Neodiprion lecontei: one gene and its partner. The protein of the gene in region 2 purifies or fractionates together with the protein of the main gene of each other region. This does not show direct contact. Links are inferred from orthologs where the notes say so. Each region holds a gene or a part of one and is shown on either strand. Other genes may lie near its edges.

What was found.
Region 1: the proteins of nuclear pore complex protein Nup153 (region 2) and nuclear pore complex protein Nup50 purify together in Homo sapiens (affinity purification with mass spectrometry; 8 studies listed by BioGRID and IntAct, counting the BioPlex papers as one, with this or other methods). This does not show direct contact. The link is inferred for Neodiprion lecontei from reciprocal best matches to the Homo sapiens genes NUP153 and NUP50.

What each region holds. Positions count from the first base shown.
Region 1 is NC_060265.1:9,404,606-9,415,281, forward strand, and holds nuclear pore complex protein Nup50, read left to right. Parts: upstream 1-3,284; 5' UTR 3,285-3,514; intron 3,515-4,075; 5' UTR 4,076-4,086; coding exon 4,087-4,248; intron 4,249-4,357; coding exon 4,358-5,247; intron 5,248-5,395; coding exon 5,396-5,539; intron 5,540-5,702; coding exon 5,703-6,009; 3' UTR 6,010-7,090; downstream 7,091-10,676. Other genes in the region: uncharacterized protein LOC107217553, read right to left, coding at 2,572-2,649; protein lin-9 homolog, read right to left, coding at 8,122-8,286, 8,494-8,679, 8,810-9,056, 9,132-9,481, 9,570-9,987, 10,283-10,585. UniProt on the Homo sapiens protein: Component of the nuclear pore complex that has a direct role in nuclear protein import. Actively displaces NLSs from importin-alpha, and facilitates disassembly of the importin-alpha:beta-cargo complex and importin recycling.
Region 2 is NC_060261.1:2,218,369-2,226,893, reverse strand, and holds the start of nuclear pore complex protein Nup153, read left to right. Parts: upstream 1-2,727; 5' UTR 2,728-2,893; coding exon 2,894-2,962; intron 2,963-3,781; coding exon 3,782-4,075; intron 4,076-4,167; coding exon 4,168-4,480; intron 4,481-4,663; coding exon 4,664-5,273; intron 5,274-5,384; coding exon 5,385-8,520; intron 8,521-8,525. UniProt on the Homo sapiens protein: Component of the nuclear pore complex (NPC), a complex required for the trafficking across the nuclear envelope. Functions as a scaffolding element in the nuclear phase of the NPC essential for normal nucleocytoplasmic transport of proteins and mRNAs.

The DNA of each region.
Region 1 (10,676 bases), on a different chromosome or scaffold from region 2:
ACAGTCTGGATCAAAAATACAGCAGCTTAAGAATGGTAGAATAACGATTTAGGGTTCAATTACGCATAGACGAAAATAAATAATGAAAATACGCAATTTAGAATGAAAGTAAAATATACAACTATAAACAATTTTAACCAAGCCATATTGTGTACACAAATTTTCTCAATTACCAAATTATACTTGTATCGTGTTGGAAATGTATTCCATGGATCTCAATGCTCAATGAGTTCCTTACTATAACCGTAAAAATCACATGAATTTGATTATTTTCTTCAACATTCCTTGATCACAATTATTTCCCAATTAGTCGTATATTGTGATACCTCCAATGTTGTTACGACGATTAAATATTAAGCATTGTTAGAGATACAACTTGAGGGTATTTCTTCCGTTAAATTGAACCAGCAACAAATAAGCAAACCAAAGAAAGTTAATTCAATGTAGTATTTCTGGCCACTGTATAACGTTATAAAATTAGAAAAAAAAAACCAAAAAAAAAAAAGGGTAAACCGATGTAAGTATAATCTATCAATTTACACTTGAGTTACGTAAACAGTGTCCGCTGCACATCGCGCATACAATGGCGTACATTTCACACATACTATACAATTGCATACACGGATTTACCGCTGCTTATAGACGCAGAGGCGGGTTTAACAAGCCTACGTGACATTACGACTTGCGCCTGATATCTGCGTGCACGATTCTCCTTATAATTTCATTCGAATTCTTAATCTTAATTTTTTCTGTCGTTTTTTTATCGTATTTTTTGCCTCACGCACGTGGAGAGGATCATTCGCACTTAAAATTAGGGGATATTAATATTTTCGGAAAATCTATCCATACGTATTTATAAATACGAGACGCTGCCGCCATTGCAGCTCTGCGTTATCGTCTTGACGAATGTGTGCACCAAAAACTCGTGTATAAGCGCATATGGTTTGTTTGTTGTGGTGTTTTAAAAGTAAAAGATAGGGGGAAAAAAAAAAAAATAGCTTACGCGTCGTGAGAATAATTGATCGGTCTATTTCGTACAACAATTTAACTATTGAAACAGAATTGATCCATAATCGATGATTATTATAGTCGAAGCAATGTAGTAACTGTGGAAATTTTATCCCACGTATCGTGTGTGCGAGACAAAACAATACGCATATATCTGTAAAAAAAAAAAAAGAAAGAACCGGAGATCTGCTTATTCTTCTTGGTATTATTCTTTTATCGTTGCGCTGCGAAACGGAAATATCGTTTACCGTGTCGCAGAGACATACTTGCACGCAGTACGCATATACGTACAAACCAAGGCATAAGATTTGGTTGTACATACGATACGTTGCTCGAATATTCAACGATGCTAAGTGAGACGTTAATTCTTACGAAGATAACGCGGGAGAATTTTCCGTCGATTGAAAACTACTACATGCAGTACACGCAACAGCGTGTGTATATTTATAACGATGGGGGGGGGGGGAGGGGGATGATAATAAAAGTTTCACAGCGGTTTAAAGTTGTAACGTGTAAACTTGGGAAATAATGCGAAGCGAAAAGCGGAAGTAAAAAAGTGGCGGAAAGTTTTTATGTTACGCGAGGTTACCTCGCGTGACTTCTTAGGTAAGATTTTTAACTCTTGTGCGGGTGAAAAAGTCGCGCGCGACATGTTGCGCGCTGCTTTCAATTGGTAAAGAAGAACACGACACGAGCAACGGAGTAAGTTTAATACTACTCGAGTAGTTTGATACTCGCGCAACAATAACTAATACCGAAACTTATATTATTTGTCAATTTGACGATGAAAGAAAGAAAGCGGACACGTTGTGTGCGATTTGTGGGTAACGATGTTGCAGCTGCGGGTGAAGATCGACGAATTATCACGTGAAATGCAAACGTAACGACGCGGAGATGTGACAGAGATCGTCGAAATAAGACGTGGAAATAACTATGCCTGTATCGTAAATCATACAAAACGTAACGACGCGTCGACAATATACGGCCACAGCGGCGACCTTGGTTAATTGAAGTATCAAACTGACGATAAAAAAAAAACACACCGACGATAGCGAGAAATACACGCTATTTTATACGTCGCACCTGAAAAACTGTGCGTGGAGACGTAGACTTATCGTTGGTTTGGCTCGATATATCCGACAAAATTTATAGCGATGTTGCGGTATAATTGCAGCGGTTAAACTGCACGCGAAATTAGGCGCACAAGTTACGTCGATATCGAACAACTTGTATCTCTATCGCGCTGATTTTTCCTTGGGTAAATTCTCCTCTTAAATCCGACAACCGCGTGAATGTGATCGGAAAATTAATTGGGATCGAAAAAGTCAATCGCGCTGCACGGCTTGATCGCACTCGTCGAAAGTTTTAGCATCATCTCTAAGCCCCCTTTCCCCTCGTCGTCGCTGCGCTCCGAGAGTGTAACAGTGTGTAAATGATGCAGGAAGCCTACGGTGATACATGCGTGTACGGTACATGTAACTGCACAAGAAACGCGCGTCAGGTTGTACGATGCAGGTATTAAAAGTCCGTCGACGGACAAACAACGAGGAGGAAATTACTTGCCTGATGATTTTGTATGGCGTATTTGAGCTTGTTTTGCACGGAGTGTATCTCATCCTGCAAACTTTTCGATATCTCCATAGTCGGGCCTGGAAGTTGGACTCGAGTTATTCCGAAGTTGACGAATTCGCTTCGTTATCGGCACCGCGTTTCAACGACGACACCAGTTGAGTTGAATTTTCTCTCAACAGATATAATTATTCACAAAATAGAGCGAAGCAATATCTCTCTCCTCTCGGCTCCTCGGCACGGCGCGCACCACGGCACTTGCCCGATTCACCCACCACCACAAACAATTGACCATCCGCACAAGTCGGATATTTGACGGGGCCGTGTGTAGGTTTTCACCGACGCGGGCACAACGACGACGACAGACACACGACACACCGAGCAACTTGCGTTAACCCCCCTTTCGGTATTGCCAAAGCTATTTTCCATCTAAGTTGCGGTTAATTTGGGAAAATACCGACCGGTCTACCGGTGTAAACATTTAGCTTGTTTATCGGACAACCTACCCCCGTTGTGTTACACGATATTTCAACTCAGTTTCAATTAAATCTCGGCCATTTAAAAGAGATTTTCCGACGCAGCGGCAGATGTTTTCCCAATAATAAGAGCGCGCAGGGGTGTGTGGTTGATGCCTGCCGAATGATCGTGGCGCCCTCGTCGTGACAACGGCCTGGTCCACAACTCCCGAATTTTCATCCCCCCTTCGGCCCTTCACAGACACTACACGACCAACTACGATTGCCGGCCAGCCCAGCCGGCCCCGAGTTGACATTTTTTTTTCATCAAAAGGCAAAAAGTCTAACGCGCCAGTTTAGCGCGGAACATTTACTTGCGATTTATCACTCATGTTTCGCGAGATATTATCGTACAAATAGACACTAACGCGGTTAACGTGGACTTTTCATCGACAGATTGCATACCGTTTATCAAAACTCAGGTACGCTAGCGATTCTCGACGCTGTATCGTTGCAATGAATTGACAATTGCCACTTTCGAATATACTCCCGATCGAGTGGCGGTTAACCTATAAATGTGTACTTTTTTTTTACTCGCACTCCAATTTCATATCGATCGACTGCTGGTTTTTATTTGTTACGGAAATCACATTGAATGGCGTTATGTTGAAACTGTTTAAGCGGGTAACGGCCGAAATTGATCCAATTCTATTTCGACCGAATCCTTTTCATAACCTCGAAACAGTATTGAATCGACTGTTACTATGTACTTGCATTGCCATGTCAACTTCACCGTAAACCCGCTGTTATATTCAGATCGCATATTCGCTCTTCGACAATTTCAAAATCCTAATGCTTATCGCAATTGCTAAATGTTTCGTAAGAGATAAGCGCCTAACTGGATTAATACCTAAATTCTTACGACACGATAGTCCTTCTATCCTCGGGAATTGAAATATTGCTCTGATAATTTGTTGATTAAATGCAAATCGATTACCACAGCCTGTCTGAAATTAAAACTGAAAAAATCATTCTGATTTTAGACCGCTCAGTGATGGCTGGCAAACGAACTGCTACCTCAGAGCTGAATCACGATAATTGGAACGATGAAGAAACTCGGGAAGAGGCAGGAACGTTTAGCAAAGCATCGAAAGAAGATTTGCAGAGAAGAGTCATCAAATCGGCCAGACGGCGAATAGTCAACAGCGGAGGGGATGTAAGTTTGGAAACATTGCTGAAAAATACAAAGATCCCTAGCACCAAAGCGCATTGCTTTTTTGTTGTCCGAAGTTGATTGTATCTCGTAATATTTCAAACTGTTTCAGGATGCACCAAAAGCAGCGTTTGGCGCGTTTACTGCTTTCAAAACTGCTGCACCTGCCGGTTCTTCACCCTTTAGCTTCCTTGCAAATACTAGTAATGCAACAAATACGAAGAGTAGTGAAAAAACGGTAGCTAATAAAGTAGGTTCGAGCAATGGATCGGTTAACCCAGCAGCGAATGGGCCAGAAAGCAAAGATTCTTCTTCGTTGAAACAGGAATCAATGTCGAAAAATTCGGATGCTAAGCATTTTCCAACTGGAAAGGAAGATGGGAAGATTTTCAAAAAATCAACAGATTATTATGCAAAATTGAAGGGACTTAACGAAAGCGTCACTCAATGGATCAAGTCACACGTAGATTCAAATCCGTTTTGTATTTTAACCCCAATATTTAAAGATTATGACAAGCATCTTAAAGAAATTGAAGCTAAACACGGACAGGAAACCACCCCGACAATTTTGAGCCCAGAAAAGACTGGGGAAAAATCTAACTTGGAAAGTTCACCCGTTAAGAGTAAGTCGAATTTGGAAACTGGAAAGACTGAATCACAGACTAAGAAGTCGGTCTTTAGTAATCCATCAGTGGGAAATGCAGAGTCGAAAAGCGAATCATCGATTTTCAAGAATGTGAATGTTGGAAAATCGTTATTCGGGAATACTGAAACTACCTCGGAAGTCAAAAGCGTTTTTGGCAGTGTTTCCACTGAACGGAATCCATTTTTAAGTACATCATTTACAGCTGTAGAAGATAAGAAAAAGGAAACCGAATCTGACATTACTGATCAGAAACCAACAGCAAGTCTTTCGTGTCCACCATCTGGTCCCACAGCCACATTCAGCTTTGGCCAAAGTTCAGCAACCAGTACAGCTTCGGCAGGATTCAGTTTCGGAGGGTACGTCCTCTTTCCGGGAGTAAATTTTTTATTGGTTGTTACGATGAGTTTCATATTCCGTTTTCATGTTTTTCTACCCATATATTCACGAAATATTGAAACATTATCAGCCTTCTTTTTGTAATTGTATCTATATATCTCCTTACAGTGGAAAACCATTTTCTTTTGGCAATGTGGCTAAAACTACAGAAGCAGAAGAGACTAAAGAAGATGAAGAAAAAGATGATGATGACGAACCACCGAAACCAGACTTCAAACCAATCACGGAAGACGATGCAATTTATGAACAACGGTAAGACAGTTGAAAGGAACATGCGATTCTTATTTATCTGTTTTATATGAAATTTACCTAAATATGTTTGTTACGTACTATGTTCTAGTGAATATTTGTTCACTACACTAGCACGATATTCAATGGCAGATGAAATTTATGGGATATAAATTGCTTTTCGCAGATGCAAGGTATTTGTCAAAAAAGATGGAAATTTTGCTGATCGAGGAGTAGGTACCCTGTTTCTGAAGCCTACACCCAACGACAAAACACAGCTAATAGTGCGTGCCGATACTTCGTGCGGAAATTTACTCTTGAATACAATATTAACCGAGGGCATACCAATGCAGCGTATGGGAAAGAATAACGTTATGATGGTTCTTCTTCCAACACCAGATTCCAAACCACCACCGACACCAGTTTTGTTAAGAGTTAAGACAAGCGAGGACGCCGATGCGTTGTTAGAAAAGCTTAATAAGCACAAGAAATGATTTTTTTAATCATGCCCACCGACCATTGTTCAACGGATATCAATCCATAAGTCATTATGGCAGATGTCAATTCTTGAATGAAAGCAAAACAATCGTGAATGTGTACATGTTTCTTATCAGAAACTAAAGATGCTATATAAATGTTAATGTACGACATTTACAGCTTAGTACTATTGATATAGATAATAATACGCAAGTAGAATACAGTCTCGTCAGTTTTACATTTACACAATGATCACAATCGTGATCAATAATTGGAATATTGCAACAAACGAATTCAAGCTTCAAATAAATCACGCGAATACGCATTCGGAACAAATTGAACTCGGACGCGTTTATATGTTGATGAGTTATACACAAATAAGTGGTTTCTGCTAAACTCATTACAGGAATACTCCCTGTTCACCTCATTTGATTTTAGAAAGAATAAAAGCCACTTTTATATATGAGATCGTTTAGTCTTGGTATTATAAATACTGCAAAAAAAATTTTACCGACACTTCCTCCAAATTGTTACTGTAGATAAGAAATTTTTTTAAGTGGCGATAAGAAATAGTAACTTACTTAAGTTATCAGAGACAGAAAATGAATCTATGTAAAATGGATTCTATGCTCTATTATCGACAATAGTGTCGTATCGTGGGTGATGACGTGTTAACGTAAATGCAAATGGATCTAGTAATGCATGTGACCGAACATTACAACGTCTGTATCTGTTAGTACTAATCGAAAATATAATTAACTCTTTCAGACAGATGAGTAACCAACGATGATACGCGACCGTCAGTTGAACAAAAATTGAAACGAATAAACTCTCATCATTGACCAGTAATACATCGGATATTCAAAATACTTTAGGTCAACTTTTTTGTATTAAAGTCTTAGATGCGCGTTGCTGTGAATTTATTATTAGCCTTTATTCCGTAAAATTTTACTTTTTACTTGTGTTGAAATAAATATTACGGGAATAAAATGAATTATAGTGAGTTTCCACGATACTTTGATACGAATAAAAGTACACTGTTACATAATCCCCATGTTAAATAATTAACTGTATATAAATAAAGCATCTGAAATTATACCGCTACATGTAGTTGAATTACATTGAGTATCCTTTCCCTCAAAAAGCAACAATTCAGGGATATATAAATCTGTTTAGAACGTCTCCATCTCAAATTATGTTTCATCTATTATTTTAGATACAATTTATAGCGCCTGTATAATATATGCAACTCGTAATATTCTACATTTCCTCATACCTTTTAATTTCCGTAAAATATTAATTTCTCCATTTATTATTAGGGTATGAACGTGTATAATAGTAATTAAATATTTTCAATCGTCTCAAGTATTCAACACAACATTCTTCTAGTTACAATTTTTTCATAATATTTTTCTTTTACTATTTAATATTATTACTAAATGTTTTAATCCTAAGATATATATTTGTAATTGTAAGTAAATACATAATTATTTTCAACGCAAGTATTAACTGTGTAATTGAACGTTAGCAGTGGTGCAGAAATACGGACGAAAAAAAAAAAAGATCTTTTCTATTTTTACCGAAGTGATGCATACAAAATTTTGCAACGGGCAACAATGTTTGCCATTGCATTTATCACACCACTTTACACCTCTATAAAGTACACAATAAGATACTAGATATATTATGTAGACATTTAATTCAAAGTAAATGACTTGAGTAAAAATTTTTGCTGATAATGTCAAGAAAATATTGATTATTGCAGAAAGATCAGAAGAATCATTCCGTGTAAGGTGTAGACAATGCTTACACCACGTTAGTTCAAAATTCATTACCATTTCTAACTGCAATTCCTCGTACTTCTTGTCTTTTTATAAAACAAAAAACAAAATGTAGATATAATGTATGAACTATGAGTATGCCTGATGAACGATGAAGGAGTCTATACAATTGGATAGTAAAGATTGATTCACATCATACAACACGGGCTGTAACAAAACTATCTATTAATAAAAATTTTCTTCGTACTTCATCAATTGTTTAAATCAAACGTATCCAATGTGTGTCGTTTCTTGATTTTGTATTAAATATTCATTGCACCTATATTCGTAGACATATTTTAGCTTTCACTACATGTTCTCGTCAAGAAGTAATTCCATAACAGCCAAATCGCTGACGCTTAGAGATTTGGCCATTGATCCTCCTGTGATTAACTGCTGCTTAGTGGGTGCTTGTTCCGTAGGAATGCCGTGGAAATTCCGATAAATGTTCGTTCCAGGTCGTACTGGTCCATGCTGGATAGCGTGAATCAACTTTTAGTTGAACAGTGACGACAGGCGCACATCAAATCATTACAGTAAGTAGAAGCGTGCAAGTGTAGTACAACTATTATTTTCCTCGAATAAATTCTCATTAGATTACAGAATACTCTTGCACGCGTCTGAAAATTACTGCCTGCCATTCATTAAGAGTATGATGATTCAACAAAGTTAATACTAAACTTTTTGAGACATAAATGGCGTTAAAGCCCCTATTTTTCCCAAACCAAGTTGAATATGCTGCATATGAATTTCAACGCAGTTTTGAAACACTTGTTGATTTTGAGGACTCAGTTTCGATCTAATTTGCTCCATGGTTCCTTGAAGTACTTTCAATTCATAGGCATTTCGATCAGAATCCGACAAGCTCTGTGAAAAGAATTGGATATTATGACTTTTGGAAAGAAATCTGCATTTCTTTGCTGGAATTCTACGTATTGGGAGAATTTGAGGAAGATTTTGTTGTGAAAAGTGGAGTAAAACTAGGAACAAGATTTACCTTTACTTGAAGCATGAGAGCAGTGAGGTCTGTGACAAGTTCGCTCATCTTTGCTGGTGCCCTATCGTTAATGACATCATTTCTAGCAACCATATCGGCCGCTTCTTGATGGCACTTTTCCCGCAAATGAGAAGGAGCCAGCATAGCAGCAACGCTTGGTTCCGGAGCCATTTCTTGACATAACTCTTGTACGTCGTTCAAGAAATCTTGAAGCGCTACATTCATCTTTTCAAGTTCAACTACTATCCTGTAATCACAAAGAAATTTTATTTTTAATCCGTTCGTTGTTTCTATTCAATACATTACTAAGCAAAATTCTTACCCTGCATATTTTCTCTCAAAGTCAGCTGGCAAAGGCTCACCGAAAGACCGTCTCTTTTCCGCCTCACTGTTCATTTCCTTCAGTTTCTTTATCTTGATTTTCTTTGCCGCTAATATTTTGTCAACTTTTACCATAAACTCTAACAGTTTTAAGGGATAGCCATTCATCGTACCACCGATATGCGATTTTTTTGGGAGTGATACGGAGGCGTTGGATATTAAAGGGTCATTATTTAATCTGGGTGACATTAATTTCATTGCATAGGGAGGTGATGGCACATATTGCACCATCCGAGGTCTAAACTTTTGCGCGAACGAAGCTACACTAATGGTTTCTGGTGGTTCGTTTGACTGAAAACAAATAAAGGTTATTGAAATAAGTCAAATGAAGATGATCAACAGGCACTAAACAGTGAATATGGCTCAATTATTCAATTACCAGAACTTCAAAATCAGGCACACTGTGAGTTCCAAGACCCGCTCTTTCAAAGGTAATTCTGTAGGTGTTGTTGCTGGTATCGACTGCATCGATACTACCAGTGAAAAGGCCATCTTGTGGCTTTCGTAATCTTGCTGTAACTTTCGTTCCAATAACAAGTTGTAAAGGAATTTCAGGAGGCAGGTCCTTAAAGCTACTTATATCGGCCGTTTTTCTCTGCTGGAGCATACGAATTTTTTGTCTCTTCCTCTCTAACTCTCGTCTTTCCTCTTCAAAAAATGATTGGGAGCACCGTCTTGGCTTTCCCATCATTCTTCGTATTTTACACCATTCTACGCGTGTCAACTTTCGTGTTTTTAGCTGCGGAAAAGACTCCTTCAAACAAATCATAAAGTCGTTGTCACCATCAAAGAGCGTTCTGGAAGAAGAAAAATAGTACTTATCTAATTGCCCATTTTGAGAAAAAAAATTTCAATTGATAGAGTGTGTTAATCAATGTATGATTAACATTTGTACCAGAATTTGAATATCGATGCATTACTCAGATCGTTGACTAGAGATATGTATATCTTCAGTCAATGCTCAGATTATGTCCTATGGAAAGTGATGTAATGAAAACTACAGAATACTATTATTTTTCCTTGAATAAGGAAAAGACCCTCGGTGAAATCTTTCAAAAAAGTATTACAGATTACTTCAGGTACATTACTCACTTGTCAATGTTACTGTAGAACCATTCATAGCAGACCCATTTATGTGCTTTGGGTAATTTCAGCAGGTTTCTCAGTCTCATACCAATCTTCTGTCCAATTTTTCGGTCAGGAGATGCTGGTTGTGCCGGCTTTTCTGGCTCCTTTTCCTGTTTTATAGGTGTAGTAACTGGCGTCGATGGCTGCGACGGCGTACCCGTACTTCTCTTCGACTCACTGACATGTCTATTCTGTTTTTTAGCTGGGGATGGCCGTGGTATTCTTTTAGGAGAATGTTTCATTTCCAAATTGGGATCCTTTTTAATTCTAAAATACACATTAGAAGCACAAATCAAATCAGGCCTTAGAATTTTATCGGTACTTCGTCTGTTTACTAAAAACACATAAACATTAACTT
Region 2 (8,525 bases):
GCGCGAAGGTGGCAATGCCCGCACAAGCATGAAGGCGCAGCACGAGCCTGGAGACGAGTTGAAGGGCGAGTGTGGCGCATTCACGCGAGATAGGCATTGCCAACTTTCGCACGTGTATCGAACTCTATTTTTTGCTACACCTGTAATGGAAAGTCCGACATACACGATTATTTTTACACGAAACCACGGCACGATGTCTGTTTAGTGACGATGCAGCGATGTCGAGCACGGCAAAGAGTGACAAACTATTCCATCGGTAGGGCTAGTGGAGCTGTTTGCGAAATACGCAACTGTGGATAAAAGCGCGACGGTCTTTTTCGCACACCGCTAGCAATGTGCGAAGGTTCATCTTATACCGCCGGCAATGTGCGAAGGTTTTTTTCTCACACCCCTAGTAATGCGCGAAAGTTTTTCCCGCACATGTGTATAAAAGACTACTTTCGGTGCTTGTAAATGGTGCATAAAAATGGACTTTCCACGCAGGTGTTGCAAAAAATTAATTGTAAGATTAGCAAGTGCATATGTGTTCCGTGCAATCGTTGCGGTATATCTCGAGATTCGGTATTCTGTTCAGTAAACTGTAGGTCCTCGAATGCAGTTTTCGGTTTAACTGGTGTACGTGTATTTGAATTGAAAGTTTAAAAGAAAGATTTTGGGAAAATATGAGGGATCTACGTTATGTGGAAGATCGTGCTCATTTGATTTTTCATGTTTTTTTCAATTTATTTTTTTTGAATTTGTGAAGAATCACGTCGTAGGACTTCGATTCTTATTTCTTTCCTAAAACTTATATTCAACTCAAAGATCACGATCCATAACACAACGATATATCAACCGGGAATCTTATTCTTCTAAATCAAAAGTTCATAATATTAAATTATAACTATTTTATGAGGTTTACAGATCCTGTACCTAGTGAAACTTGACTTCCAGGTCTAGAGGTCCTTGATCCGGTGAAATTTGACTTCCAGGACGACCGCTCCGTAGTTTCGGCTGTTCAAATCTTTTACCTAGTGAAACTTGACTTCCAGGACTAGCGCTATGTAGTTCCTGTGCTCCAGGTTCTTTACCTGCTGGATCTTGACTTTCATCACTCGCGCTCAGCTGTAGGATCACCTGGTAGATACAGTTTTCTATTGATACTGATTCAATTATGAAATCCTACATCGGCTAATTCCGTAAGGTTGTATCTGCCAAAAATTCGATAATACAATAACTCGCAGTATGTATGATACATGGTAAGTAATGTATAATAATTAATGTGTTCCTCAATAAGTCTTGTAACAATATTTTTGTAGTTGAAGCTTACGACGTTGGAGATTTTGAAAATATTACGTCCCTTCAGAAATCCTATTTTTTTAGAAAGGATAGAGAAAGTATGTTAGCGATGTATACATGTTGGTGTGTAGTACATAAATGAAATAGTAATTAGTAATCCTTGTACATACATGAGATATATAATTTATAATTAGTTCGTCTGTCCATTATAACTCATATTCATTCGAAATTGCCGGCGATGGTCTTACAATTAGTTGATATCCAAACAGCCGTGGAGCAGTACGTACGTATACGGCAAGATTGCGGGAACGTTTATTTAGCGAGTTTAATTTATTGTCTAAAATGTTATTCAGTGAGTGTATTTGACTAACAAAGTAAAATGTATTTACGTTTCAGGAAACAATAGAAAAATTCAGGAACAATAACAAAAAAAAAAAAAAAATGGAAACTAGCGAAAACGCATCTATCGGTCAGTTGCTAATATAGTACACAGACAGACGAATGGCACGTTGTAAACATAGTGGAGATGTGACTTTGACCTGGTGCGATTTTTCCAAGCGTAAAAATGGCGCATTTCACACAGCGACAAACAAAATATTATTTTATGCAGTTTGAGAGAAACTTGCTACGCGTTATATCACAAAAGTTTAAGTAGTTTGCTGATCGTCATTATGTGGACGTCGGAATTCACCAGGTAGACTATCATGTATACTATATAAGTACATTACGATGTATACGAGTTATCACGTAGTCGGTTAAATTTAAAAATTTTACGCATATATGGTAAACCGCTAACAGTAAAGCTTATCGAATCGAGTGAGTGAGCGTGGCGAGCGAGGGTTTTACATCTAGTTGATATTACGATTGATGTAAGCAATGATAAAAGAAGTAAATTTTATTCGTGATAGATCAGAATTTTTAAAAAAATTTATAAAAGTAAAAAATGGACTGAGCGTCATCTTCCTCATAACGTAGAACATGCATATTTGGACAGAACCTTTCTTTTAACCTAAACGAACGTTTTAGAGGGTGCCATGGTGGAAAATCGTAAATAATATTTTTCGAAATTCCCTAATACATCGGTGTTAAAACCACGGTCTTATATACAGGTCTGGCAACTCGGTCGAAATTTCAGTGGTGAGGGTATCCTCTTATTGAAGCACTGATCGCTTCGCCTAGTGACCACGAGTGTCGCTGCGATAAAGGATGCAGGCTGTGTGAGAGAGATAGAAACAGGTTAAACCACATATCCTGCATCCCGTGCTGCATCCCTCTATCGCAGCGACACTCGTGGTCACTAGGCGAAACGATCGGTGCTTCAATAAGAGCACATACCCCCACCACCGAAGTTGCCAAAGTATGTAAGACCCATGTGGTTAAAACTCGCTCTATCGTCTAGTTATCGGCAATATCGATAGTCGAGGCGGCGAGAGTCGATCCGCGGTGTCACGTGTCCACGAGCCAACGGGAAGCTTGACCCCTCACGGTGGTGGAGGAACCGCCATATTTTCTCGTGGTTTCGTCGTGAAAGTTGGACGATGTGAGGTGTCAGTTTGATATGCAGTAATCTAAATTAATGTGAGTGTGTAATAATAAACAAGTAAATGGTGCGATCATGGCAAAAGGAGGTAACAGTTTGAACAACAAACGTTCGAGGAACGCCAAGCCCTACGACGCAAACAACGTGAGTAGAAACTCGTTCCGAGGTCTCGGCCACTGGCCTCCCGCGACAAAAGTTGCCTTCCAACGGTCCTTCGCGCGTTTCCCAAAATAGACATGATTTTAAAACGTGCTCCGAGTAACGATCGAACCGATTGCGATATCCTTCCCAATCCCCGGCAATCAAATTCGATCAAATATTATACTTGACAAAGTTTTACCCGCATCAAATAACCTCAAACTCGATAGGCGCACACCCACGGCGGAATTTATCGTCATTCAAAACGTTCTAACCTTGAAATGCTGCATGGGTTCTTGGACAATTGTTCAATTTCTTACACCGATTCTTGTATCTAATAACAATAATTTTTACCGTGCATAAAGCCGTCGAGCTCGTTACGTCAATATTATCTATAAATTACATAATTAATGGAATTTGTTCCTCTAACTCTCGAAATCCGATATTCTCAATATCTCTGTTGGCTAGTTCTAGCTTGAATTATTATCACACATTATAGTACATGCAATTTGGCACATTGCAACAATTTACACTGTCTTGTATATCCGATATATCAACCACAAGCTATTTATGTCTGTCAAGATAAACATTCAATTTTTAGTTATATATTACTTCCTATGTCGAAATGCGATTGAAATTCTCGTTTTACTTTCACTTAATATTTATAGTATCTAGAGTTACTTCAGCCTTCAGCTAGTCTTTGAACAAATCTAAGCTTAAAATATGAGCCTCAGTTAATCTTGCAGTCTAAATGATTTTTCCCAAAAAACCTGATATTTTTATAAACTCCCTTGAATAATGCTAATTGATATTTTTTATTACCAGTCTTTCGTGAAAAAAGTCGCTACGAAAGTCACAGATCTGATACCGCAGAGATCGTGGATAAGCAAATGGTTTAATTCGTCGCAAGATAATGGCGAAATGTTAAATGATGAGGAGAACCTCGAGGGCTCTGAGAATGAGCAGGAGTCACAGCAACCTCCGCCTTCAAAGCGGCCACGGATTCGTATGGATGTAACTCACCCCCCCGGAACATTCAATATACAGCCAAGAAGTAGAATTCCAGATAATGAGGAGGTCGACCCTCGAAAAGAAGATTACATTATCCACAATGAAACTGTAATTATTTAAATGTTCATTTTGTTCCTTTACTCAAACCATTATTTGTTATCTATAAATATTCTTTATTAATTATATTTACGAATTTTCAGACAACCGATTTCCTAGAACCTTCAGTAGCTGGAACTAGTGGGGTTCGTCGTCTAGTGGCGTCGACGCCTGCAATCCAATCAGAAATTGGCAGTATGAGCAATCAAAGGAACAGGACAAAGTTCATTTCGTTAACATCGCCACAAAATAACGGTACGGCTAATGGAACAGACGATAATTCAGAGTCCAGTGAGAGCACAAGCGGATGCAGCTCTCTCATACCACAAGTCAACAGGCAAGAAGCACCCTCAAGTCTGGGGTACAACAGATCGTCAACAAGCAGAAAGAGATACAATGAAGATAAACTAAACTATAGTAAGTCTGAAAATTTGAGTAATTGTCGATTATATGTTTATTCAAGAAGTAATCGGGCATTGATTTATTTTCAATAGTGGACCAATGGGCTCTTGATCACTCTAAAAATTTGGTTAAAGCACGAAACTTTGCCTACATATCTTTTATTTCAGGTTTTCATGTCTTCGGTTTCTGTGTTTGCAGCAAATCACCTACAGTCCCCACGGTCCCTCTTTTTGGATAGCAATCCTAGGGATTCGTTGAGCAGTCGGAAGCCGAGCTTCAATGTGTCAATAATGAATAATTCTCTTGAACGAGGACAGTCCTCGTCTCCGTTTTACAACGGCAATACCACGTTTGGAGGAGCCAACATGGCAGGATTCCAACGCCGAGGACGTACGTTGTTCAATAGTACAAATGAACTTCAATTGAAAGTACCAAACCGAACCAACATTCAAGTAAAGTCACCAAATGTAACTGGTACCGATTCATCAGCCATGAGTCAAACTGCTAAAAGGATATTGGAAGCACTGGAGCATTTTTCATCCCCCATATTGGATGCTAAAAAAATTCCCATGAATGCAAACAATAGCTCGTCTCTGATCGGTGGCAAGAAACGGCAGAGGGAGGAAGGTTGTGCTCCCTTGGCTCGGGTAGGTCTGCGTCATTTGACTAGGGAACTTACCGTACCTACAGTGCCAGATCTCCTGAAGCTTAGACGTAGACAGAGATTACAAGACACCACAGTAGCGGCTAGGAGAATCGTTTCGGCTCGCAGTGCCCCTCCACCATCTCCCCAGGAATACAGATTGAGGTACATTCTGATTGATTTGATACAAGTTTTTAATGAACAGTGCTTTTCGTTTGAGTTCTTTTGTACATTGAGCAATTTTTAATCTATTTAATTTCATTTTTTGTGTTGCAGATCGGACGATGAAGAGAAGTCTAAATACTCGGGCAAGGTTAAAAGTAAAGGTAAAACCGACTTGGATCAAGACTATGTGACCGATGCAGTCAACTTACCAAGCGTCACACTGCCTATTAGTACTTTGCCAACTTTTGATATAAAGCTACCAGTAATCACCAGTAACATGGCCAAAGGAGTGAAAGATGAATTATTCAAGTTCTCTAGCCCAATAAAAGTGACGGACACGACTAGGAATTTAAAATCTATCAATAACTTTACCTTCAGCAAACCAATCAATGCCAGTGTTAAAGAATCCGCAGAGGGTGGTCATTCACTTTCGAGAACATTGAGTTCAGAATCTGATACTTTGCCAGCTAGATTTTCGTCTAGTAATAATTTCATGTGGTCCAAGACCTCGACAGCCCCGAAATTGAAGGAAAAACCCAAAGAGGACGTGGTTGTGGATGGAATCAAAACGTCCAGTAAGTTAAAAACAGGCAGCGTTATGGATGTTTTGGGAAAGAAATCAGACCTACTTACAGATGCCAACAAACCTGTAGTTGGCATGTGGGAATGTAACCAGTGTTTGTTGAAGAACAACCAACACGAGCCTCAGTGCATTGGTTGTAAAGCTTCCAAGTTACTTTGCAAAGGTGATAAGACAACAGAACATACACCGGAATCGTCAACGCTTACCGTTACACAGTCCAAGCCTGTGACCACCGATTGTTTCGGATCACAGTTCAAAATGAGCGGCAACCATTGGGAGTGCCCCAATTGTGCAACATCGAACAAACAAAGTGATGTCAAATGCACGTTGTGCGCTATGTCTAAATCTGAAAGCATTAAGGCTCCGACTATCGGTTCTACATCCAGTATTGTTCCTGAATCAGTAAAATCCGATTTAATGGAAAAATTTAAACCTCCTGAAGGATCGTGGGAATGTCCTGGTTGTATGCTCCGAAATCATTCATCTGTCGAAACTTGCCCTTGCTGCAACGCTTCAAAGCCTGGCTCCCTCAAGATCAGCCCTAAAAGAGTACCTGCCACATCAGAATTGTTGACTACCATTTCGAATCCCGGTGGAAATCAGTTGGCCAATAACACTGATTCTGTGGAGAAAACAAAGTCGACCAATGAAGATTTATGGGAGTGCTTGAAATGTAAACAGAAAAATTCTAGAGCCACTTTAATCTGTCCATGCTTTAGTACTTCGAAATCCGATTCTACAAGTACACCGGCGTTAGGATTTGGTGACAAGTTTAAGAAACCTGAGGGAGCTTGGACGTGTGACGATTGCATGGTACAGAATAAAGCAGACGTTATCGAATGCGTAGCTTGTAGTGCTGTGAGACCCGGTTCAAAGAAGGTAGCAAAATCAACGTCAGCCACAGGTAGTGGGTCAAATGTACAGTTCAGTTTTGGAGTACCCGAGAATGCTGGAGGTTTCAAATTTGGAATTGACAAAAGTGATGAAAAAGTTGACGCGATTAAGCCTGTCCCTTCGTCGACAGGTTTTACCTTTGGCGCTAAGACAGACTCACCCAAAGCTGGCGGATTTACCTTCGGTGTACCTCAGAATTCTTCAGGATTCACGTTCGGTGTTGTAGATAATGAGAAAAATAAATTCGAACAGAAATCGGACACTAAGGAAACTGATGCTGTTCAAAATGTGTCGAAAAAACGTTCATTGAATGTCGAAGAACCGAAGAATCAAGCTCCGTTCTCATTTGGTATACCCAAAACGGAAGAGGCAAAATCATCTGCAGAAAAACAATTTGCATTTGGAGCACAACCAGTAGCTAATACTACTGCAAAGCAATCATTTTCCTTTGGAGCGGTGAAAACTGAGGCACCTGTTAACAAAAAAGACACATTACCAGAAGTTTACATAACTGTTTCAAACACAGAATCCCAGAAATTAAATTTTTCAGCACCAACTAGCGACGCTCCAGCAGCAATCTTGGCCAATGATCAATCTAGTTCAATAACAACAAAATTATCCATCAATACAGATATTACCAAATCTGCAGAAAATCCCACATTTGGCACAATAAATGTGCCTGTTTCACTTAGCAGTGGGTCAACAGTTACGACAACCGCAGCCAGCGTCCCGACGCCCGGACTCTTCACGTTTGGTTCTGCAACGACGATTCCAAATCAACCAACGACAGTTCCGAGTCAAGTGGTGCAAAGTTTTGGTCAAATTCCAGTATCAGCTCCAACATCAGTGCCGACGCCTTCAATGTTTGTTTTTGGATCCACCAAGCAGGCGAGTACAATAGCCGCCACGACACATCCTGATAAATCTGAAATTGTATCTTTTGGCTCGACCAACAGTCCTGCGTTTAATGCTATCACTTCCGCGCCACGTTTCGAAGGTAACGAAAATAAGCAAGCACCGTCGTTTGGCATGACGGACAACAAGCCTGCCCCGCTTTTTGGAGCGGGTGAAACAAAGGCTCCAGTTTTTGGAGCTGCTCAGGATAATAACAAAATGATACCAGCGTTTGGAAGTATCAAAAAGACAGCATCAACATCAGTGTTTAACTCCACAACGCCAGCATTTGGAGTCTCTTCTTCTACCCCTGCATTCGGAACTGCGGCCCCGGCGTTCGGAACAACGTCCACACCTGCATTTGGGACCAATCCGACACCGAGTATTTTCGGGACGTCGAAACCAGTGGAAACTGCACCGTCTTCCACTTCTGGGTTGTTTGCATTTGGCGGAAGTTCTACTCAACCTAGCGCGTCTCAAGCTTCCAGTGGATTCAATTTCTCGCAAAACCCAACTCCGGCGTCTGTGCAACCGATGGCTCAAAAATCTTTGTTCGCATTTGGAAATACTAGCACCAACACACAGCAGTCTGACGGTACCGGGTTTGGAGCTGCCGCCAACTTCAATCCACCTGCCGCCTCGGATACAACTGCGGGAACTTTTGTATTCAATACTCCCAAGCCGGACGCAGCCCCACCATTTTCCCTAATTGCGCCTACTTCCACATCGATATTTGGCACTCCTCAGGCTGCTCCTAATTTTGGTCAGAGTCAATCAACGTCGGCGTTTGGTTCTGTGGCTCTAACTCCCAATGCTAGTTTCAACTTTGGAGGCTCCGCTACTCCTGCGCCTTCCGGATTCAACTTTGGTGGAGCAGTAAG